Sus scrofa: one gene and its partner. The protein of the gene in region 2 interacts with the protein of the main gene of each other region in a biochemical or structural test. Links are inferred from orthologs where the notes say so. Each region holds a gene or a part of one and is shown on either strand. Other genes may lie near its edges. The genes, in order: PEA15 and RPS6KA3.

The links.
Region 1: the proteins of RPS6KA3 (region 2) and PEA15 form a complex in vitro, tested with the Homo sapiens proteins (2 studies listed by BioGRID). The link is inferred for Sus scrofa from reciprocal best matches to the Homo sapiens genes RPS6KA3 and PEA15.

What each region holds. Positions count from the first base shown.
Region 1 is NC_010446.5:90,258,204-90,269,694, forward strand, and holds the end of PEA15 (astrocytic phosphoprotein PEA-15), read right to left. Parts: intron 9,242-11,491; 5' UTR 9,240-9,241; coding exon 9,068-9,239; intron 7,727-9,067; coding exon 7,571-7,726; intron 7,418-7,570; coding exon 7,353-7,417; 3' UTR 5,397-7,352; downstream 1-5,396. Other genes in the region: DCAF8 (DDB1- and CUL4-associated factor 8), read left to right, coding at 1,387-1,506, 2,140-2,256, 3,087-3,203. UniProt on the Homo sapiens protein: Blocks Ras-mediated inhibition of integrin activation and modulates the ERK MAP kinase cascade. Inhibits RPS6KA3 activities by retaining it in the cytoplasm. Inhibits both TNFRSF6- and TNFRSF1A-mediated CASP8 activity and apoptosis.
Region 2 is NC_010461.5:16,567,899-16,579,946, reverse strand, and holds the start of RPS6KA3 (ribosomal protein S6 kinase alpha-3), read left to right. Parts: upstream 1-4,734; 5' UTR 4,735-5,020; coding exon 5,021-5,089; intron 5,090-12,048. UniProt on the Homo sapiens protein: Serine/threonine-protein kinase that acts downstream of ERK (MAPK1/ERK2 and MAPK3/ERK1) signaling and mediates mitogenic and stress-induced activation of the transcription factors CREB1, ETV1/ER81 and NR4A1/NUR77, regulates translation through RPS6 and EIF4B phosphorylation, and mediates cellular proliferation, survival, and differentiation by modulating mTOR signaling and repressing pro-apoptotic function of BAD and DAPK1.

The DNA of each region.
Region 1 (11,491 bases), on a different chromosome or scaffold from region 2:
GTACGTGTAAGTTGTCACATATCTTTTCGTAGTATTTCCTGGCAGTGGAGTTTTTCTGTCTAGTGCCTCCTCATGCTCCAGATGCTGGAACCTCTTCCACCTCTTTGCCTAAAAGAGCCCAAATGTAGACTTTGCAGTGAGCTGATATGTGTAATGAAAGAAGAACAAGGGAAAATGTGGTTTCTACTTTACTCAGACTTAGCTTTGGTGTTTTTTGAGAATTTGCTTATTTGTAAAATGGAAGACGAAGATCAGAAGACTGTAGGTCAGTTGTATTTTCCATGTCGACCTTGGCTTCCTATCAGCTGCTCTCTGCATGTGTGGGCAAGGCAGAGAAGGTTGGTCCAGAGAGAGCTAAAAGAGGCCGTTTGCCAAGGGTTGTTTTGTCCGACTGTAGGGCAGCTGCAAGATGGGACAGGGTGAGGTGAAGAATGGCTAAGACCACACCTTCTTCCTTCTGGGTGCTTTTCCTATCTATTCTTCATCTGACTAAAAGCCCCCAAATGCTTTAGCAGCTACATCTGGGACCAGCTCTTCCTGTGGGGATGAGAGCGGCCCTGCCCCGTCCTGCCCTGCCAGGAAGGCTGATGTTTCCAAGTCAGACAGTAGGGGGCATAGGTGCCTTTGGATAGAAGGAAGTTGCCCAAGCCAGAAAGCCTTCCACTCGGCTGCTGAAGTTCATTCCTCCTGCTTGGAGGGTGGCTTAGCTTGAAGTGATGGGTGCCCTAGGAAGCCGCCCTGCTGTACTGTGCTGTCCTATGGTCGAGGCTGTTGTGCTTTCATGGCAGAGAGCAGGGTGCTGGCCCCTGGGAGGTGCAGGGTTCTCAAGCAGATGTGTCTCCACTATCCCACCACTCCCCAGGATCAGCCTCTTCCCAGTCTGCGCCTCTTTCCAGTTCTAGTAAACAGTGCCAAGTGAATGTAATTGTTCTCTGAGTCTTCTCTAGGGGCTCAGCAGCAGCTGCTGCTTTTTTCATTTTTAAAAATTTATTTGCCACTTGGTGAAAGCCACTGAGGTGTTTTTTCCAGCCTTGGGCAAGTTGGAACTGTGGAATCTGGAGAGAATGAGGTCATACGGACCTCATTGGCCTTCTTCTGAAGCCAGCAGTATGCTTGGCCAGTCACCCGCCCACCCCTAGGGCTGGGTCTGGGGATGAGACTGCCCTACCTAAATGTAGGAAATGAGAGATAGGCCTGCTCTTATACTCCGTCTGTGCCCATTGTTTCTCTACCCTGAGGGCCCTTTGCCCTCGGGTCATGATGAATGGGCCTGCTTTCCCTGCACCTGATTTCATCAGGGTTTGTTGTTTGGTTCGAGGTGAGTAGTGTTTATTAAACGCTATTCCACATACTCCTGAGCCTGTGTTTTCCTTTCCTCCTGACCAGGTAAATTGTCTTGAGCCCCATCCTCACCTGCCTGTGCTGGCAACCAGTGGCCTAGACCATGATGTCAAGATCTGGGCACCCACAGCCGAAACTTCCACTGAGCTTACAGGGTTAAAGGATGTAAGTGGCTGGCTATATAGATTTCTTCTTTCTGCTTATTTGTACAGTTAGGAATTTTCATTGTCAGAGGAAGGAATAACCTGCTGTACAGTCCTTCAAAGGCACTTCTCTAACCCCTCCCCTTCCCCCACGTTCCTGTCATTGCCTCTCTAGGAACAGCCCCAGTGCTTCTAGATGATGGTAGGATGGGGACAGGAGACATTTTTTCCATGGATGAAAGTGGGGCATCCTTTTCTAATATGATCTAGTTATGCTACACTCTGTTAATAGTTCCTAAGGGAAGATTTTTTTTTTTTTTTGGTCTTTTTTTTTTAAGGCCACACCCCTGGCATATGGACCCAGGCTAGGGGTCTAATCAGAGCTACATTGACCGGCCTAGGCCACAGCCACAGCAACACCAGATCTGAGCCATGTCTGCGACCTACACCACAGCTCACGGCAACACCAGATCCGTAACCCACTGAGCGAAGCCAAGAATCAAACCCTCAACCTCATGGTTCCTAGTCGGATTCGTTTCTGCTGTGCTACAGTGGGAACTCCCTAAGGGAAGATTTTATTGGGCTAGAACACCAGCCTTTTCTGATCAGGTCCAGTGTTCCTATTCATTATCCACTCTCCCCCTTTCGATTTCAGGTGATTAAGAAGAACAAGCGGGAACGGGATGAAGATAGCTTACACCACACTGACTTATTTGATAGCCACATGCTCTGGTTCCTCATGCATCACCTGAGACAGAGACGCCATCACCGGGTAAGCTGAAGTGGGAAGTGAGCTCCCAAAGGCAGTTGACCCTCTCAAGAGGGTAATGTTCCACAGTGCACACTTCCTCACTGCTCTAGACGAAATCAGGTGAAATTGGTTGGATTTCCTATCCATTATCCCCCATCCCCATCAAAGCCTTGATGTAGTCTTAGAAGAGCCACTAGCAGAAATTGGTGTTGTCTTCTTTGTGTTTTCCATCACCATGCATGCACAATGCTGTCTTCATAAAAGCAATGGCATGAGGGTGGGGAAGGAGTTGAGGAGAAACTCCTTGAGCCAGAAGAGTCCTAACGCAGGGGTTAGCAAACTATGGCAGATTTGGCATGTGCTCGTTTTTTGTAAATGAAGTTTTATTGTAATATAGCCTCACCCATTCATTTATGTATTGTCTGTGGCTGCTTTCATGCCACAATAGTAGAGTTGAATGGCTGTGACAGAGATGTGGCCCATGAGTGTAAAATATGTACTGTCTGACTCTTTAAGAAAAATTCTGGGAGTTCCTGTTGTGGCTCAGTGGTTAACGAACCCGACTAGGAACCATGAGGTGGTAGGTTCGATCCCTGGCCTCATTCAGTGGGTCAGGGAGACGTGGCTCAGATCCCGCGTTGCTGTGGCTGTGGCATAAGTAGGCAGCTACACTCTGATAAGACCCCTAGCCTGGGAATTGCCATACGCCACAGGTGCAGCCCTAAAAAGACAAAAAAATAAAAAGAAAAATTCTGCTGACCCCTGGCTTAGAGTATCTGAATCTTAGCTAAGACCTGACAGGCTTGTCCTTGTTCCAGGGTAATTACTAATAAGCTTTTCCCATCCTACAGCGCTGGCGAGAACCTGGGGTTGGGGCCACAGACGCAGATTCGGATGAGTCTCCCAGCTCCTCAGACACATCGGACGAGGAGGAGGGCCCCGACCGGGTGCAGTGTATGCCATCCTGAGGCCTCGTACCCAGGAGGGGCAGGCCAGGGCTGCCAACCTGATCCTGCCTGGGCAGCCCTTTCCTGTCCCAGGCCCTTACATTCAGCAGAAACGCACTTTGGACATTTTTGCTTTAGATTTAAAAAAAAAAAAAAAAAAAAAAAAGGAGAAAAAAAAAAAAAAAGACATCCCAGGAGGACAAGCCAGAGGAGAGCGAACCTGCAGGGGTATCTAAGAGTGGGAGTTGAGCCCTGCAATGGGGTTCCATGGAGAGGTGCGCAGGACTCAGCAGAAATGGCCTCTCCCCAAAGCCTTCTTTTTTTTTTGGGAGGGGGGAGCCTATTTTGTTAACTGGTTTTGGGTAAGGAATGGGGTTTCCTTTTCTTTGATCTCCCTTGTTTCTTGGGTGGGGGGTGGGGGGTTAACTGGCTGTTCAGTACCAAGGGGCCAGACTGGGAGTGGTAGAAGGGCCACTCTCTCTTTGGTTTTAGGTTTTGACGTTATTTTCTTTATTTTTAAAAAGTCTATGACAGTTGCATTGTTTTTTCTTCCCCTTGAGCAGCCCTATCCCAGGATCCTGTTTCTCTGGGAGGTCCTTAGAGCCCCTAACCATCCCACACTTTTCACTTTGTTTTCCACCTCATTCATTCTCTGTACTTATTATCACAGTGTTTTGCACTTGATTATGTATCCTTCACTCTCTTCTCTTCATCCTGTCATTCCCTCACTAGGTCTGGTGAGGGAGGTTGGGGGGAGGTGGGAGGAGGGGTAGAAGTGGAAGAATAGGAAGGATGTTACCTCTTTTGTTACTTTAAAAAAAAAAAAAGTTTGTTTGGTGGCAGCAATCTCCCTGTCCCTATCACTGTTAGAGGCCTACTTTTATATCTATAAATATATTAAAAAGCAAGTTAAAATTGGATGTATCACATTAAAATTATTGTCAAAGTTTAAATACTATATATTCTCTATGACTGCAATAAAGGGACTTAGAGGAGAGTGAGTGAGAGTAATGATGCGGAGGTGTCACTTGGGGTCACCCTCCTCTCTGTGTATGGCCATTGGGAGATTGGGGCTCACCCTTTTAGGCTTTAGGAGGCTTGAGAATGGAAAGATCCTGAATCCTGCCTTTCCCTGCTTTCCTGCCGTGGTTTCAGGGTTGGGAAACCCCTTTTAGCTCTTTGCCCCAGGTCTCCTACCTCTCCTTAAGTCTTGTGGGGGTTCCCAGGATGGCTCTTTTAACCACAGACTGGCCCATCTTTAAAACTTGACTGAACTGTGGCTTCAGGAAGAGGTCTGCCACTGCAGGCCATCTCTCCTAGTACTGTGTGTAACAGAAAACACAGTCTTACCTTTAGCTGCTTGATTCTTTAAGCCATCCCACTCCACACCAGCTCCCTTCCTCATGGAAGAGCACAGGGAGAGACCTCCTGGGTTTGACTGTATACCTTATCCACCTCTTTTGGGATTGAAGGAATGATTAAGGTGGCTGGGGCTCAGACACCTGTCGTATCACTGGTCACTGAATATGAAAGTCCCAGTTGAATTCTTGCCCTTAAATGCTTTTGCTGCTATTTCTTTGCCCCCCACCAGGAATTCTGCATCCTGGGACGGTCAGATTCTACTAGAACAGGACAGGAAGGAAGGGAAGAGTGAAAGGATGGAATTCCCAGATACTCCTTCCTCCTGCCCCTTTTTCCTAGCAGCACTCAGACCAAATGTTAGCTGCTGCACTTCCTCCCTGAAGTGGGGAATGTGTGGTGACTGAGTGGTCTGTGTTCTTCTTGCTGGTGGGGTGATGGAGTGGGCTGAAAACCGTGCACTCTGGAATTTGTTGTGTATTTTCTCTCAGTAAAGCTTTTTTTTTTTTTTCTGACTGTTGCTGTGTGTGTGATATGTGGGCCATTCATTCCTGATTGGCTCGTTTTGCTCCTTCCAGTAGAGGCGGCCCTGGTCTTAGTACAGTTTTATGAAGTGCAGTCTGGGATATCCATGTTTCCAGTGGTTGGGCTCCAGTCGGGGACTGTAAGTGGAACAGGCCCCACAGTTCAGTGATACTTAGCAGATGGGGGAGGGGAGAGATATTAGATGATATTAGGTGGCCCCTGTTCCAGGCTGCAATTAGGATTTGGGGGTAAATACTGCTCTCCCTCCCTTCCCAGTCATCCAGAGGCTCCACAGTCCTGGTCATTCATAGAAATCCTAGAATCATTTAATACAGTACAATCAATCACCTTTATTCCAGGGTTAGAACAAGGCCGTGCACACTGCAGACGGAGGAGCACAGGATAGGGGCAATTTCACAGCAGTACAAGGGGTGGGTGGGCAGGTTAGTCTTTTTAGATTATTTTGCCTTACAGAAATTACTAGACTCCACTGAAAATGACCCTGTCTCCCTTCTCCCATCTCAACTTCTCTCTTTGAAGGAAACTCTTTATTCTCATTCTCTCTTTCTCTCTCTCTCTCTCTCTCTCTCTCTCAATCTCACTTAACATATGCTGCCTTGGAAGGACAATTCATGCTTACCTTCTCCTCCTTAGTTCTACAGGTATCCCTCTCTCTTCTTGAGGGAGAAGCCAGACAGGGCTGGGGAAACTTGGGAAGGTCCTTTAAGGCAAACCTGTGGAATACTCGAGGTGTATGTGTTAAGGCAGGTGTCCGCAGCAGTGGCCAGAAGGGACAGGCAGGCTGGGCTGGGTTAGGAGTAGAAGGGTGCTCTCCAACCAGTCTGGCTTCTTCCCTCTTCCAACAGTCAGCCCTCCCCTCCACCTAAAGCTTTGCTCCCACATCCTAAAAGCTCCTAGCTTAAACTTACTCTAAATAGTCTCTTGACATGCGAATTTTTTTTTTTTAAGTTTTCTTTTTCGTTTTGACTATGTAGCAATTTGTCTCTGCCACTCCCTTCACTGTGGCATTTCCCTCCCACCCCCGCCCTGGCCTAGACAATAAGTTAATGCTAGACACCACAAAAAAAGGGCAGACATGGCAGTGCGGGTTTAATATACATATATGTAGAATATATATGTACACACAGTTAGCACGGTCAGGGTGGGCAGGGGTATCTTGGGACAGGCAGGAGGCTGGGGTCACTGGACTCTGGTGACTTGGCTAGGAGGCGCTCGTAAGCCCAAGGTGCCAGGATATTGAGGGAGAGGGGTTACCAGGTCCCCTCCTGGACTGAACTGGGGATCAGTGCAACAGAAAACACCGTAGGTAACTTCATCCCCTTTCTGGCTTGGGGAGGGGTTCTTGACTGCAGAGAGAGGAAAGGTTGCCTGCAGTAACCACATTGGGACTCTAGGTGGAAGCAGGATTAGAGTTAAAACCTAAGGATCTCAATTCTCCGAACTCCCTAGGTCAGTATGTGCAACAGTCTGAGTAGGAATAAAGGAGTAGAAGAGGGGACTCTGCCCTCATCCCCACTCAGCCCCAGTGGGGCATGTTCCCAGCAGTCTCCAGAGCAGAGGCGGAGGCGGGATCTAATGCTGGGTGCTCCATGGGATAAATTCTGGGGCCAGAAAAGATCCAGTGATCCTCGCTCTTCAGTTCCCTGGCTCTTACGCGTCCTAGGCCCATGAGAGGGAGCAAAAAGGAACCTGCTCGTGCCCAGGCCCTCCAACCTGAGGAACAGCTGGAAACTAGACTCTTCAGCCAGTCCAGCACTGGGGTACGGACACGAACTCTGGCTTTTCTTTGACCCTTCCAGGCGGGGGTTGGGTAGTCTCTGCATCTTCCCTCCCACTGCTTTCTATTAGATTCACCCACCTCTCCCATGCCTCCCACCTTGCCTCCTCAATGTAGGAAAATAAAGGTCCTTTCTGCTCCCACACTTTAGAGATGTGGGGGAAGAGTGGAGGAAAGGGAAGGAGGAGAAATGTGCCCATTTCTATTTGCATAGAAATAGCCCCCAACTCCCCCTAGAGTGGGGAAACTGAGCCCCCCCCAACCCCCAGCCCCTGACCCCCATCCCCTCACAAGGAGGAGGAACTAGATGAGCTAGACATATAGACAGACAGCCAGAGCGTGCGCACACACACACACGCGCACAGTAAGGGGGTTAGGACCAGGTTAGTAAGTGGGTGGCGGGGGGTGCCCTTGCACCCTCCCCGGGAGGATGGGGGAAGAGAGTGGTCCGATGAAGGTCCAACCTTCCTCCTCTTCCTCCCCCTTGCTCAGGCCTTCTTCGGTGGAGGAGCCAATTTGATGATCTCTTCCTCAGAGGGCTGCCGGATAATGTCTGGGGGCAAAAAGAGATGAGCGCAGGGACAAAAGTCATGGGAGGCACCAGGCAGGCCAACTGAGCATCAGCCTCTGTTCTTCCGAAATTCAAGTGCTCCACAGACAACCATGGGAGGGGGCAGAGGTGCGTATGAAAGGCATGACCCCTTACCTTTGTACTTCTTGGCACTGGGGATACGGGTCAGCTTGGTGTCCAGCTCATCTTCCTCAGAGATCTTCAGAACACGGGTTCTGTAGTCAACCACCATGGTGAGGAGGTCAGGACGGCGGGAGATCTCAAAGATGTGCTCGATGTAAGAGAGGTTGTCTGGAGGGAGGCAGGAGACAAGGTCAGAGCCAAGCTGTAGAGGTCAGCTTTCCCTACACTCTCAGACCAGGCTTCTGAAACCCGGGCCGAGCTGCTCACATTGGTTACTGGAGGAGGCAACACTGGAGGAAGAGGGGCTACTAAGCCAGGAAAGGACAGCTAAGGTACCAAAAAGCAGAACTGTTCCCAGGAAGGGCAGATGGTTGATCAGTGAAGTTTCCAGAATGAGGAATTTAGATTAAACACCAGGTTCCACATTGAAGGGAGAGAAGAACAGAAGAATTAGCTGGCCTTCCAAATTCCAGACACCCAACTGTGTCCCTCTTCTGCCTTTCCTCAAAGTAACCATCAGAAAAGTCTTCCCAGCAGCACATGTGCTACTAGAAGGGTGGACTCTGTAGACCACACAGGAGAGATTCTGGGCCTAGTGAGAAGGGTAATTGTGAATGAGGAAGCACAGACATGACCAAAAGGATGGTTTCCACAGCCAGTTCTAGCAGACTGCAGCTGTCTCCCTGCCTGGCTCCTTCCCTCTCCTGCTGCAGCCTCCCTCTCTGCTACCCAAGCTACAGATGAGTATCTCTGCAGGGCCTCATGTCACTCACCTCACCTATCAAATACCCTATTGCTCAAAGCCCTACATGGCACAGACCTACCTTACCTTTCCCTTCACCTTTTTTTTTGGGGGGGGGGCTATACCTGCAGCATGGAGAAGTTCTTGGGTCAGGGATCAAACCTGCACCACAGCCATGACCCAAGTCACAACAATGATGACATTGGATCATAACTGCTAGGCCACTGGGGAACTCCCTCCAGTCACTTCTAAACATACCCTTTGCCCCAGCCAAGCTAAGCAGAACTCCTTGCTTTTCCACACACCACTCTCCCACTTGGGCGACCAGGTCCCCTTGCCTAGCATGTCCTCTGGATCCTGCCTTTGAAATCCCACTTGTCCTTCAGGGCCATCTTAAAATATTTGTTCCTCCCTAAAGCTCTTTCCAGAGCACTGGTCTCTAGAAACGGATAAGAAAATGTTAGCGCTTGTGGCTTTAAGTTTTATCACTTTTAACTTCTATTTTAATGTTCCATTATATATGTGATGATAGCACAGTAGGATCTGAGTAACATTTTTTTTCTGAATGATATTTTTAATGGCAAGGTGAAATATGAAGAATGTAAAAACCACTGCTCTAGGGCCCCTGTACTCTCTTAGAGCATCCCTCTTACCCTGCCTTGTCAGAGAGCACACTTTGTATAGGAGCTCTGAGCCCATTTCTATTTACTGAATGAAGGAGCCTGAAAGGCTGACGGTAGGAGGATGGCTGTGTCCCCCTCCCCTACCTTTGTCCAACTTGTTGTGGCTCTCCAGGAAGCTAAACCAGGCACTGCCAGTAGTGATCTCCTCACTCTTCTCACTGGGGATATCCTCCTTGCAAGCTGACTTGAGCTGTTCCAGATCTTCAAGGGTGATGTTGTTGGTCAGGTCCTGGAGGAGGGTCCCGTATTCAGCCATGACTGAGGTTGAGGGGAACAAAGGGAGAGGAGGCTGAGCTTGAGGTACAGGGTCTGGTTTGCTCACTGGCACTACACGCCCCTCCTCTAACCACACCAGGCATGTGCCTAGAACATGGATGTTGGGGCTACAGAAAAGGAAGCCCTAAGGGAGGCAGGAGTAGACAGGAAGCAACTTGGAAGCTAGGGGCCAAGCTGGAGCCTAGAGTGAAAAGTCACACCTCTTTCCCTCCACCATCTTTCTTCTTCCTTTTCCCCCCTCTAACAGTAACCCTGGCAACAGCTCCCCGACTGAGGAGGCGGTTACCATAGCAACCTGCTCCTGAGACTTTCTCACTCACCCGCTCTCTCCAAGTCCCCCCACCAGAATTGCCTCACCCACCTGCAACCCTTCCCACTGTCAAAAAAAAAAAAAACAAAAACCACACACATAGACTCCAAAACAATGATCAGGGAGAGGCTTGCCATGGCAGTGAGAGGCTAAAAAGGGGCTGGAGGAGGTTGATTGGACTTCATGTGTTCTAGCTTCTACTCTTTCCCAGAAGCACAGGGGGGTCCCCCTCACATCAACTCCCCACCACCCCACTAATGACTCATTTTGAATGGATGCCTAGTAGCCTGGGCTAATGGTCCCCTGGCCCCTCCATGCTCAGCCCTGTATTCAGTCATTAGGTCTCACGGGGTAGTGTGAGGAGGGGGGAGCAATGGGCTACCCCCACCTTTGCGGAGCCCATTTTCTCCCTTGATTGCTGCTGGGCCTCCACACAACCCTCTCTCCTAGCCTTTGTGCTATGCCTACAGCCCCCGCGCCTAAGAATACCAAGCGGCTGGCTCTGGCCCCCTGCCCAGTTCCCAGGCTGGCTGGGTGGCAGGGGGAAGGGGTTCAGATGCAGCTTTGGGAGAGTCTGGCAGGAAGGGGGCTGCCGCTCCTGCTTGCATCAACATCCGGCTGGCACTACCTTCCATGTGACCCTCCCAGAGGAGGCTGGGGGAGGCTCGATCTCATCTAGTCCTTCACCCCATTCCTCCTCATGAAGACCCTCAGATGAAAAGGTAAAAAACAGTCAAGGCCTTCCTTCTACTAGGCTAAGGAAATGTGGCTAAGACCAGAGGAGAGAAGGTCAGACCTTAGAATGAACTTTCTGGATGTGATGAAATGTGAAACTCCAGTGGTGAGTTTTAAAAGGGGAGCCTTTTCCCCCACAATGAGTATGTCTTTCTTTTATAATTAGAAAAGTATAAAGCATTTTAAGAAGTTAATTATGCCATAAACACTGGCTAGACCAAGGGGTGGGGCAAGGAGCTAGATGACCTCGTACTTGACTGAGACTGCCCACGAATCACCCCAACAACGGGGCCGGGAATATGAGAAGGGGACTAGTTGACACACCCCATCTTCCTTTATTTCCGGCTTACATGCAGGGAAACTGAGGCAGAGAGGCACAGCCACTACATAGTAAGAGGCATGGACTCAGAAGGCCTCATTCTCAGACCCCTGCTTGGACCAGAACAAACAAGCCTCCCTTGGTGGCAGGCACCGTGACACAGACACACAATGAGCCAGGCACCAGGGCCAGCATGACCCCCACAAGAAACAGGCACTTAAAGGCACGCTCACTTGCACACCCAGGTGCAACCAGACAGAAGGGCCCAGCGGTGGCCCTGCCAGGCTGGGCCAGGAACAATGCTCTCTGACTGTCAGCACCAGGAACCGTCTCTGCCTTGAAATCTAGGTCAGAGCAGCAGGCTCTGGAGTCCAGCCCCCACCTCCCTCTGCTGATAATCCGAGGACAGAAAAGAGGGGGATGTGGACAAGAGGAATGCTGGGAAGGGGGTTCGGAGATGGGGGTAATAATGGAGCGGAGCTGTGGGGAGAGCTGAAAAAAAGGGGCACCACCGGAAGGAGTTGAGGAGACCCTGGGACCAAACACTCGGCTGGAAAATGGGACAGGATTTAGGGTCATAGTACCCTGCATGCACATGGAAGAAGAGTTTGTAAATAGAGAGATTCTGTGGGAGGAGTGAGTGTGTGTGTGTGTGTGTGTGTGTGTATCTCCTGGGAGGAGTTAAGTTTTAGGACTGAATCAAAAACACAGACTTACAGGGGAGGTGGGCGGGAAGGGATTAGTGTGTATTAGACACCCACCCACAAAGGCTGCGGGCGGTGGGTAAGAGCTGTTTAAGAGAAACAGATACAACGAGGCCCTAAAAGAACAGGGGTGGGGGGGGTGGGGATGGGAACGTGTAAGAGCC
Region 2 (12,048 bases):
AACTTTGAATCATACATTTGTTAGTTTCTTTTGAGCATTACATAAACAAAGTTTTGATCATAGCCTATGAGGCAACTGACCTGTAATCATTTGCATTTCAACATATGTGGCTTGAAAAACAGAACAGTAAGTTACCTTACATGCTCTTTTCTTTGAATTCCACAGGAAGTTGCAGTAGCATTTGTGTGTGTGTGTGTGTGTGTGTGTGTGTGTGTGTGTGTGTGTGTGTGTGATATGAGTACCTTAAAGAAATCGATTGTGCCATAATAAAATGCTCACATAACAAATGGAAAGAAAGAACTTTCAGGAGTGAATAATTTGAATTACATTACGTATGCAGGAATACTCCCTTTCCGAAGCTGATAACAATAGCTCCATTTATTGAGTGTTTCCTTTGTGGCAGGCACTGTGCTTAATGCTTCCCGGACTTTATTTCCATTTAATCTTCCTTAAAATTCTATGAGGAGGGTGTTGAGGAGGGTGTTATTATCCTATTTTCAGGCGAGGAAAACAAAGCTTATGTCGCGAATATTTATTGAGCAGCTACTATGTGCCAGACCCTGTTCTCGGCTGTTAAGTTGAAGCTTATAAACATAAAGGAATCTGGAGTTTGGACGTGGGCCTGGATCTGCTCTTAGCATGATCCCCTACTGCCTTACCGCGAAGAATGTTACATGCTGCAAGTATTTGTATCATAGATTGTTTTCCCCTTAGTTCCTTATAGATTTTATTAGCATCTTTCATCACATGTAACCCTAGAATCATTGAACTCTATATCTGCAGGGCAACCAAGAGAAGATCCTTACATTTTCCAGAATTTGAATTCTCTCAAAGTGTTCAAGCAAATGTAGAAATAGTGATTTTTTTCTTAAGCTGTGTGTCCAACAGGAAAATATTAATTTTTATTTGGGAAATTTCAAAGAAAAAATGAAATTCATACACATGAAAAAATATGTCATCATATATTTTAATTATTGTCTTAAGCAAGATAAAATTTAAGCCTAACTTTTTCTTTCTCTCCAGAAGGGAATAGTTATACAGTCTCTAGTGGGTTTTTTTTTTTTTTTTTTTTTGTATGAAAAGTAAAAATGCTTCAGATAATGTAAAGGGAAAAAACTTTTTTTTTTTCAGAGAGATAATGATGATTACACGTTATGGGTTTTCCATAGGGACAAACCAATATGTAACAGAGCTGTGAGTTTTGGATGTATAGGAGGTAGAGATTGTGCCATGAGCCATAGTTTAGTCATCTTGTAACTTTTCCAGACTGATGTAACTCCATTTTTTGAACAAATGTTATTTTGTTAAGTAAATGCCCATTTAAACTTGTATACAAAGGTTATAATTATAGCAGGAAATTGTTGGGGACAGAGGAGGTTAAATCTGGTTGTCCTGTCATACATCAGGAATGATTTCTTGGAAATCTAGTCCAGATTTTCGACTGAGGTTTGCTGTTTTCTTTTGCTGTAGTTTCAAGTAATAACTTTCCAATATTTTGGTTCTGACTAAGAGATATATGTGTGTATGGAGGGGGGAGGGTATTGAATCAGTAGGTAACTGAATCAGCCCTTTCTGCTGATTTTTCACCCAGGAGCCTCAAAAGACAGTGGAATGTGAGAATATCACTTAACATTATAGGACTTGTAGGATTACATAAAAGGCTCAGTGTTAAAGGAAAGTTCTAAAGCAGCACTGTCTTATAGAAATTTCTGGACAAGTAAGCCATGTATGTAAGTGTACATTTTATAGTAACCACATTAAAATAAAAAGAAACAGGAAATTAATTTTAGCAACGTATTTTATTTAACTCAATACATTGAAAATATCATTTCAATTTGTAGTCATTACAAAAATTACTAATAAGATACTTTACATTTTTTGGGGGTACTAAGTCTTTAAAATCTGGTGTGAATATTACACTTACAGCGTGTCTCAATAGCGACCAGCCAACTTTCACTGATCAAGAATCACTGTGTGGCTAGGGGCTAACATATTAGCTTGCACAGGTGATCTCTAGAGGCAGCTATTCTTTAAAGAACTAAGAATTTTCATTTCTTAAACAGGAAAAAAAAAAAAAGTAATCCTGCCCAGGGTAAAATCACCTTCTACATTCAAATAAATCTTTTGGTTGTCACCTAAGAAAAATCCCCCAGATTTCCCCAAATTCTCTCAGCCAGAAAGAGTGGCTGCACTGCTCTTGGATTTAATAAATGAATGAAATAAATTTTAAAAATATTGTTAACCAAAAGGAAAAAAAAAATCACTTTCTTTTCTTTTCGGCCAAAAGGAAGGAGAATAGTGTTTTCCCCAAATCAATTCACAAATACTTATCAAGTTGATTTTATCTGCAAGACAGCTGTGCTACTGGTAGTTTGGCCCATTATTAAGTTACTTTAATGCTTAATTCCTGCAATATGACCACTGTTCACATTACTTTTACAGATCAACTCACTGTTTTAAGTTATTTCTCTAGTTTTCAAGATAAAAAGAAATGAATAAAAGTTGATACTGAAATCAGCTTTTCAATATACAATTTGATTTACTTAAAAAAGGTTAGTTCACTCTTTGAGTGGAGTAATTAACGCTGGGCGGTGTTAGACACATAATAACTCTCTTTTCAACTATGTATGTTTTACTAAAGAAAGAATGTTAATTGGAATAATTGAGCATTGTTGGGGGGGTAACTTACCTTAAACTAACGAAATTGACCAACTTCTTTTCGCTGTAAGGAATGGTAATGTGGCTTTGCAATATAAATGTAAGATAAATGAGGCACTTTGTACATAAATGCAAAACAATACACAACTCCCTATCTTTTCCAACTTTGGCAAGCTGGTTTCACCGTCAAGAATTACAAAGACGGTGGCTGCCAAATTAGCTGAGTTTTGGGTCCAGATTGGATTTGCAGCACTTGAATCAGCATGTTGGGGGAGGTGACAGAATCACGAGCTCAGTCCTCCCCACCCCCACCCCACAGACCACGCTGAGCCTGCCCAGATGTTGCTCAACCCTGAGCTGTCCCCCTGAGTCCAAGGCTGCGGGAGAGGGCGCGCAGCGAGTATTTCCGGCCGCCTCCTCGGGCCGCCTGAACAGATGAAGCCTCTTCAGGTGGCCACGAGGCTCCCGGGCCTCCCGAGCCTGTGCCCAGGGGCGTGCCCGCAAAGGCAGGAGAAAGAGCCTAACACCTGGCTCTCTCTGGCCAGCGGGAAACCTTGCTCCGCCCGCGCAGACTGGCCGGCTAGGTGTGGAGCTCTAATCTCGTCCTCACACCTGCGTTAGGGAGGAAGGCGAGGGCTCTCCAGGTGTGTGGGTCCTGGGAGGATGAAAGAAAGCTGTTAAAAGGCGTGCACCGGGAGCGCAGCGGGGGACGCGCTGTGGTCGCGGGGCGTGGGAGGCTCGGGACGCCTGGGCCGAGGCCTGAGGGGATGGAGGCATTGGCCGGCCTGGAGGTTTCCCTTTACTTTTTTTCCGTCTCCTTGTAAGGCGGTTAGCCAATGGCTGCAGTAGCTTTCCACTCAGCCCGGCGACTTTTGTACATTTCTCCCCTGGCGCACTGAGCTCGCCACGGCACCTGGCGCGGGAAACAAGGGGTCGAACCTCCCCTCCCGCCCGAGCCACTCCAGTCGCCCAGGCCTCTTCCCTTGAGCTCTCCCTGTCCTCCTGCGCTCCGTCGCCGTCTGGGGCTTGGGTTTCCTTAACCTGGGGCTTCCCTATCTCGGGCAGGAGGAGTTAGAACCCCTCCCTCTCTCCCCTCCTCCACCCACCGCCAACCTGATTTTTAATCTAATCTTTTATTTAAAGTCAACAGAAGAGCAGGAACCCCGGGCTCCTGCCAACAAGATATTTTAAAATAATTCCCCGACCTCTGCCGAGAGGGGCAGCCTTAAAGAACCTCCTTGTTTTCTCCTTCATGAAGATTTAAGCAACGGGGAACGGGGGTGGGGGTGCGCTTCGAGGGTAGAGCCTGAAGCCCGAGGGTTCTGCGGCCTTGGAGGGGGAGGTGTCGACTCATGCAAGACCAACTAACTCCAAATATTAAAAATATAACACAAGAGCGTCAACTTGGAGAGCCTTGAATCAAAGGGAGAGCCGAACCCTCAGGCGACTACCAGGGCACGATGCCTTCAGTCTCCCAGTCCTGGGGGAGGGGGGGCGGGATGGTGAAGGGGCAGGTGAATGCCCATCGAATGACCCTGGAGAGGGCGGGTTCTGGGTCTTTACGGCATACGTCCATAGCCTTGGCGCGCCCACATGCACCCACGGAATAATCAGGACGAAAAGACAACCCCGTGCCCCCTCCCCGAGTCCTTGCGCCTCGCCCATCTCCTCCCTAGTTGGGCGGGGACCACTGTTCTCTACATCCCCGAGGAGCCTTCGATCTGCTAGGACGCAGGGCGCTTAGAAACTCCGAGCCTTTCGCACCTCCTCCCTTTCGCCTCTTTTCCCCCCACCTCCCGCCGACGCCCCCAGATCTCTACGGCTCAGCCTTTCCGAAAGTAGGCGAGGCCCAAAAGCTGAAGCTGGGGCGAGGAAGGAGGGAGAAGTGGAGTGCCGCGGCCGGGGGCGTGTCTTCCCAGGCCCCGCCCCCGGGTGCGCGCGGCGGTGGCGGCGGCGCCCGAGCCTCGCTCTGAGAGACAGGTATCGCTTAGGCGCCATGTTGTGAGCGGAAGTGGGGGAGCGCGCGGGGGCTGCTGTTCTGCTGGGAGCGGGCGCGGGAACCGGCGGGGGGGGGGGGCGGAGCTGTAGTCCCGGCGGCGGAAGGAGGAGAGGAAGAAAGGGGCGAGACCCGGTGCCCGGCAGCGGCGCGAGGCTCTCGCTCGGCGCGCGGGCGTCTCCAGCCGGGCGCGCGGCGTTCGAGGGTCGGTGTCTGCGCCGAGCCCTCTACCCAGCAGCCGCCGCCGCTGCTGCTGCAGCTGCCGCCGGCGCTACTGCCGTGGGGCTCGGGCGGCGACGGAGCGGGGCCGGCCGCGGGGCGGGCGGGGAGGGAGGAGGCGGTGAAGGCGGCGGGCCGGGGGGGAAGATGCCGCTGGCGCAGCTGGCGGACCCGTGGCAGAAGATGGCTGTGGAGAGCCCGTCCGACAGCGCTGAGGTGAGTGCAGTCGGGCGGCCGGGGCCGGCGCGCCCCCCTCCCCGCGCCCCTGCCTGTTCGCTCCCTACCCGGAGCCGGCCACTCGGCCCCTTCGCGTCTCCCCTCGGTCCGGGGTTCCGGTTTGGGTAGTTGGGGTTGGTGTCTTTGCCCTTCTGTTCCTCCACCCGCACCCTCCTCTCCCCTCCCTCGCTCTGGGGGCTGTGGTGTGGTGGCGCGTGGGGTTGGGAGTGGGCGCCGGGGCTTTGCGAGCAGCCGATTTTCATCAACTTTGCGTGGGGGAAGCGGGAGGCGGAGCGGGGGCTGGCGAGGAGTTACGAAGTTCGGCCCTGCCTGGTCGGGGGCTTCCCTGGACCCTGGTGACTTTGGGAAATGCGGGAGGGGTGTGGATTGGGTTCGCTGGGGAGCGGGGACTCTGGAGTCCGGCGGGGGGCGGGGGTTGTCCTGGGGAGCCGTGCACGCGGGGGCAGGCACGCCCCGGGACAGGGGTGGCGACCTTTGGGGGTTTCGGGGAAGGGGTGCAGGACAACCAAGACTTTTTGCCTCCCCCCCCCCCCGCAACTGCAGCAGCGGTTTCTGCTGCTGCAAAGGAGAAAGTGGAAGCCTGGGGTCCTGAACACAGACACACACACACACACACACACACACACACACACACACCGCCCCGTTTCTGAGGTCGCTGAGCTCGAGGACCCCGTCCCTGCGAGTTTAACATGAGTTTCCTGTCCGTAGAGGTGAGAGGGTGATTTTCAAGGAGATCGGCAGCCGCGGTAAAGGGCTTTCTGGTTTTCCTCGCCCGGAATCTGATGACCGTCCCCGAGACACCCACCCAAGTGACCCAAACCCAAACTGTGTACCTAAACAGGGCACACCAGCATTTCCCCGGCTCTTCGCAGCCACCCCTGTCCCAGAACCAACTCGGGTCTGTGAAAATAATCCGGGCAAGACCCATTCCAGGGCATCAGCGCTCCTCTCCGGAGTGGAAAATCAATTCCTGATGGTGGCGCGTCTGTGATTCTTCCTTCTTGACTTTTTGCTGTCTTATATCCCCACAGCGGACTTTGGGGGATTACAGGATGGTAGGCTGCGTGTGTGTAATAGTTACTGAGTGAGTGACCCCATTTCTGGAAAGCATGACTGAAGCGCGGGGGTGGAATGGGGCAGGCTCTGATGAGTGGTGTACTTGGCGGCAGCCGCTGCCCTGCCGGCCTCCGCAGTGTGAGAGGTGGATAGGGTTACTGGTTACGTCAGTAAGACCCAGGCTCAGTTTGATCTGAGATGCGGGACGCTTGCGTTCTCGGGTATAAAGGAGGGGGAGGGGGACAGGGATCAGTTCAAATCACTTTTCACTTTTTTCCTAGTCACCTCCGCTGCTGTGTAAAATGTTTACTTGCTCTCCATACCGCAGGCAGAGTTGTAATAGTGGCTTATGGTTGGTGCTTAGTATTTTGAGACTTGGATCACATTTTTAAAACCTAAATGAAACACTGCTCTTCAGTAGAAAAGACATTGATAAATGTTAAGCCAAAAATTTCGTAAAGGAAATTATGCTTTAAAGTCTGGCAGAATTACGAGAATTTCATTTAAAATTGTTAGCCAGACCGATACTGTAAAATTTTTAATAAGAAAATCAAATTTAGAATGTTTAATCAGCTTTTGAATGGATAGCATGAAAAATAGGGTGTCTGAGGCTCATTTCATTCGTTTTTTTCTTCAGAAAACATTTTGCATTAAATAATATAGCTTAAATGTTAATAAAATGTCTCTAAGTGCCGACCTTGTGGAAAGAAATTGAATTTGCTTTGAGCCTGAATTTTAGATGCAAACTTTAACATTTGCAACTCATAATCAGTCCACATTTCTGCTTGGCACACATCAGTGTGTTTAAAAATCAGTTAAAATTCCACCTGATCCTTTTTCTATATAGTACACATTTGGATTAGGAAGGCACAGAGCTGATGTTTATTTAGCACCTACTACATGCCAGATAGTGTAGTACATGCTATTTCATTTTATCCTTCCAGTGATCCAACAGAGTATGATTATGGTCCCAATTGTTACAGATTAAGAAACTGATCTCAGAAGTTAAGGGCACAAAGATTATAAATAGTAAATGGCAGAGCCATGATTCAAAGCTAAGTGAATATAATTCATGTGCTTTGCTTTATATTCGAGTAACTGCTTCATATCTTTTATGGAAAAAGCAGAGTATAAATAAATAAGCCAGTAGTTAGAGGTCATGTATTTTTCAGAAACAGTTATGGTATTATGAGATGTCTCATTTGTTAAAGCATAGTTATTTCAGTTACTGTCATGGTTTCCAGAACATGGCAGATAGGTTTCCACAATTTGCCATTTTAAAGTAATTGTCTTGAGATTCTGGTATAAGGTATGTCAATCAATCAGAGCCAGTGTTGCCTAGCTTTATTAAAACTAGATTTTAACATATTGCCATTAGATATTTTATTGCCTTTGGTTTTTCAGCTGTTTCAAGTAAATTACTTGTGATTCATGTTGCAAAATATTGAGGTCGGTAAGGAAAAGGTTGATTTTCATTCAAAAGTAATATTGAACTTAATATTATGCTTACTTTTATGCCATCTCTTCCCCAGTAAGTTCTCAGAAATAATTGTATTTTACTAGAATAAAATAATTTTTAAAATAGTCATTTGAGTAAAAACACCAGAATATTTCTCTTCAGAGTATAAGATTTCAGGGTTGATCTCTATAGAAATTTACCTTTTTGGTCTCTTCCTGGTAGGTTGAATTGTTCAAAGCAGAGACTTTTTTTTTCCCTTTATATCCTCAACACTTAATACAGTGCATGGCACATACATAGCATAGACACCCCCCCATTACCGCTGAATTAATTATGAAGGTCAGGAATAGGGTAATTATCTATCTTATCTCTGTTCTTAGCATTTTATAATTTTTTTATAGTTGGTTCTTGACCTAGATCTTTTTTTTTTCCTATACCACAGCTCACAGCAACGCCGGATTCTTAACCCACCAAGCAAGGCCAGGGATTGAGCCTGTGTCCTCGTGGATACTAGTTGGGTTCGTTACCATTGAGCCACAATGGGAACACCTGTTCTTAGCATTTTAATCTTCCATTGAAATATGAACAATCTTTAAAGACCTGAGTACTTCACCAAAAGTACCATCCGTTTCTTCATTCCTTTACATGTCTTCTTGACCTCACATGGGTCTCATGGTGTTCAAAACAAAAAAACCCTTGTGGTTGAACTCAAACATGGGTCAGAACATGATAGGCTAGAACTATGCCAAGTATTTAAAGAAGCAAATTTAGGATAATAAAGCAAGTGCTATGTAAGCAGAACCAAGGTTGGTGCAGGATTAAAAACAAAATAGCTTTGTAAATAGTCCAGGTGAATTCAGAACTCTTTAATTAGTTGTTTAAAGATGCTAGTATGTTTTTGAATATTTGACTGTTTAGGAGGTTGATATCAAAGAATTGTGGCTGTTCTCTTCTACAAACTCCTTGCCACTGCTGTCAGGGACGTTTACTGGATCATAAGCCTGAACTAAAGTGACACTTTTTTCTCAGTTTCAGTAAAGATAAATTATAGTAACTCTAAATATGAACAATTTTCAAAAATAATAAAATTAAAGAGGTTTATTTTTGCTTTATAGAAATGTGTTATGTAAAAATAGCTACCTCGGAGTTCCCTAGTGGCTCACTGGGTTAAGGATCCAGCATTGTCACTGCAGTGGTTCAGGTCACTGCTGTGGCATAGGCTAGATCCTTGGCCGTGGAACTTCTGAATGCCATGGGGCACAGCCAAAAAAAAAAAAGATACTTTCATTCTTTTAAATAACAAGTTACCCATAAGACATTGAAAAATATTAACTATATAAGTATTTATAAAGAATGAGACCCTTGGAAGTTCCCTTGTGTGCAACCGGTTAAGGATCCAGTGTTACCAAAGCTGTGGCACAGGTAGCAACTGCAATGCAGGTTTGATCCCTGGCCCAGGAACTTCCACATGCCATGGGCATGTCCAAAAAAAAAAAAAATGAGACCCTTGTTTTGGAAACCATTTTCAGTGGGTGTGCAACCATTTTTAACGTCAAAGATTATATTGGATTTTGTAGTATTTCCACTATACCAGTATCTCTTATATTTCATTTGTAGGGAGAAACATTCTATTAAAGTGTGATCTTTGGTTTTGAAAAAAAATGTTTTATTAAGTTTCTTTTCCTTTTCCTGTTTCATTTTTACCACCTTTCAGGTTTTTTTCTTTCCCCAAAGTGAAGATCTGAGGAGAGGACAGGTATTGTTACATGTCAACTGTCAAGTAACTGTGAAACATTATTAAACACTTTGTTGTTTTCAGTGATTATAATATTGGATATCAGTTCTTGTTAAACTAAAATTTAAGAGGGTTTGCTTCATTTTGGCAGCTTGATCCTATACTAATGGGGTTGATCCAAAATGTGAAACTTCTTTGCTGCATTCACATTTTAAATATAGAGAGAAACTTAGCCAATTAAAGGAACAAGTATAAGCAGACTTTGCCTTTTCATTAGTATGTTTCTGGAGATCACAATGAGTATCTATTTTTATGTAAGAAGAGTGGCATAATTGAGTTGTACACTCTTGACCAAGGACATGACATTGAGTAAATTATAGAATGATCAAAAATATAGCAGATCATTTATCAGATGTCTGAGTTTCAGAAAAGTTGCTCTAAAGATTTTTTAAAAATTTATCCACTAAAAATTTTATCCCGTTGTGATCATTCACAAGATTTGCTCTAGAGTTCCGTGCTCAAGGACATGTGACCTGCCAGGCTGGGAATGTTGGGTGACATCAAGTGGCCCAGTTTGTCCAGTGCAGACTGGATGCTTTAGACCCAGTGGTTCAGATTACAGTGTACAACAGTGACATCTTGATCTCTTGGTAATGCATGAGTGTGATAGTGCTCAGTTGTATATGTGTTTTGATGGATAAAAGTTTTGACGCTTCAGAATGGAATTGAGCAAATGTATATTTTACACATCCCATTCCAGAGTTCACATAATAGAAGGAAAAAATAAGCAATTGCATTTTAACACTTGACATTAGATGCCCGCTCCTTCTTTCAGAGTTGATAAAATTTCCTGTGTCATTAATTTGTAACAGCAAATCTCAGATACTTCTGTATTTCAGTAATACCAAATAGCACAGAAGCAAAGACAAAATAACTGTAAATTTTAATTAAGTAAAATGTGTCAAGTTGATGAAACAAACATGCTATATATGTTGTGTAAAACAAGGTAAAATATATCCATATAAAAAAGCTCGTTTCATACACTGAGCTGCTTTAAACAGATACCTTAGTTACTAGCAATTAATTATTACAATTTTACCTAGTCCACTTTATGAGATAATTTGGATATATGATAAAGTGTTGATGAACATAAGCTTTGAAGCCATGAAGACCTGGGTTTGAACCCTGGCTCTGCCGCTTAATATCTTGTTATGCAAGTTATTTAATGTGTTTATGCTTCAATGTCCTAATCCATAAAATAGGAATGAAAATAATATCTACCTCATGGGGCTGTGGTGAGAAGTAAATGATAATATATGTTAAGCATATATCAAGTGTTTAATAAGTAATAGTTATAATGAATCATCTCTCAAACAGAACTGTCTTAGGAAGTTCTGTGTTTTTCTTCTGGAGTAATTTTTTTGGAATCAAACAGAATGATTAAAAATGGTTTGTTTGATCTGTTCAGACAGAGCCTTTATAATATTTGAATATAACTGTAATGGTAAGGTGAACAGAAATCTCTTGAATCTTGTTCTTTTTTTGTACTGTTCTCCTCTTTGATGTCTTTAAAGGGGGGAAACATTTTTGAACACTATGAGTGGAAGAAGGAAGAAAGCAAAGTATGTTCATATTTCAGCATTGCTCAAATTGGAAGCCTTCTCAGGATCCATGCATGTCATTGTTTAATTAGTAGTGGGTTTTTTTTTTTCTTAGAGATTTAAAAGAGAATAGTGTATCTTACACATGGTGGTGTCTTATAATGGATGAAATATGGTGTATTACCCTATATGTCAACACTTGAAGAAAGTGTGTCTCTGAATGGATAAAATCAATATATAGCATCAATAGGTGGAATTTTAACTTACTTTCTAAAAAGTACCAAAAGAAAATCACACCTTTTTATATTTTAGGATCAATTTTGTTAATTTCATTTTTTAGGGACAGAAATTAATATGGCACACCTCCCTCCTTGTTACTATAAACACATTTGTTTTGGTTGGTTATTCAGATATGCCCTGAATAACTGGGTTTTCCTGTCTAGAAATACAATCCTTTGGATTTTATTCTGTTATGTGGTATTGGTACTTAAGGAACTTTCAATAGTATGTATGGTGTTTTCAGTTGAGAAGTCTGAAAATGTTCAAAGTGTGTCTCTGCTCCAACATCCATCTCCCACCTCTAGAAAAAAAAAAAAAGCGAAGGAGCATGATAAAATCAAATAAATTTGAGGGTTGTGAATTTAAATGAAATTTGACCAATGTCTCTATTGCATAACTTAGAACTTTTAAGATGATGATGTATGTGATGAATCTGCAAAAAAGAAATTGCTCACAGCATTTGAGGCTCTATATCAGCACCCCTTTTTCATGAACCATCTATTGAAGTCTCAAAGGACACAAGTGCTGTGCAGAGCACAGTTTTAGAAAATCTGATAACTGCAGTAACCTGATCCAGTATTGCCTGGAAATGAGTTATTATGTTTAATTGACTGTATCAAAGCTTCCTTTTCTTTAACTGTCAGGAGTTTTTATTTCATTTTGAATTGAAGTCTTTCTCAATTTGTGAAACAATTTTCCATTTTGATAGTGACTGAAATTTTAAATGCAATAATTTAAATATTTTAAAATAATTTAAACTTTTATTCAATCTTCTGAAAATTAATGGTCATATTCTACCTTAATATCA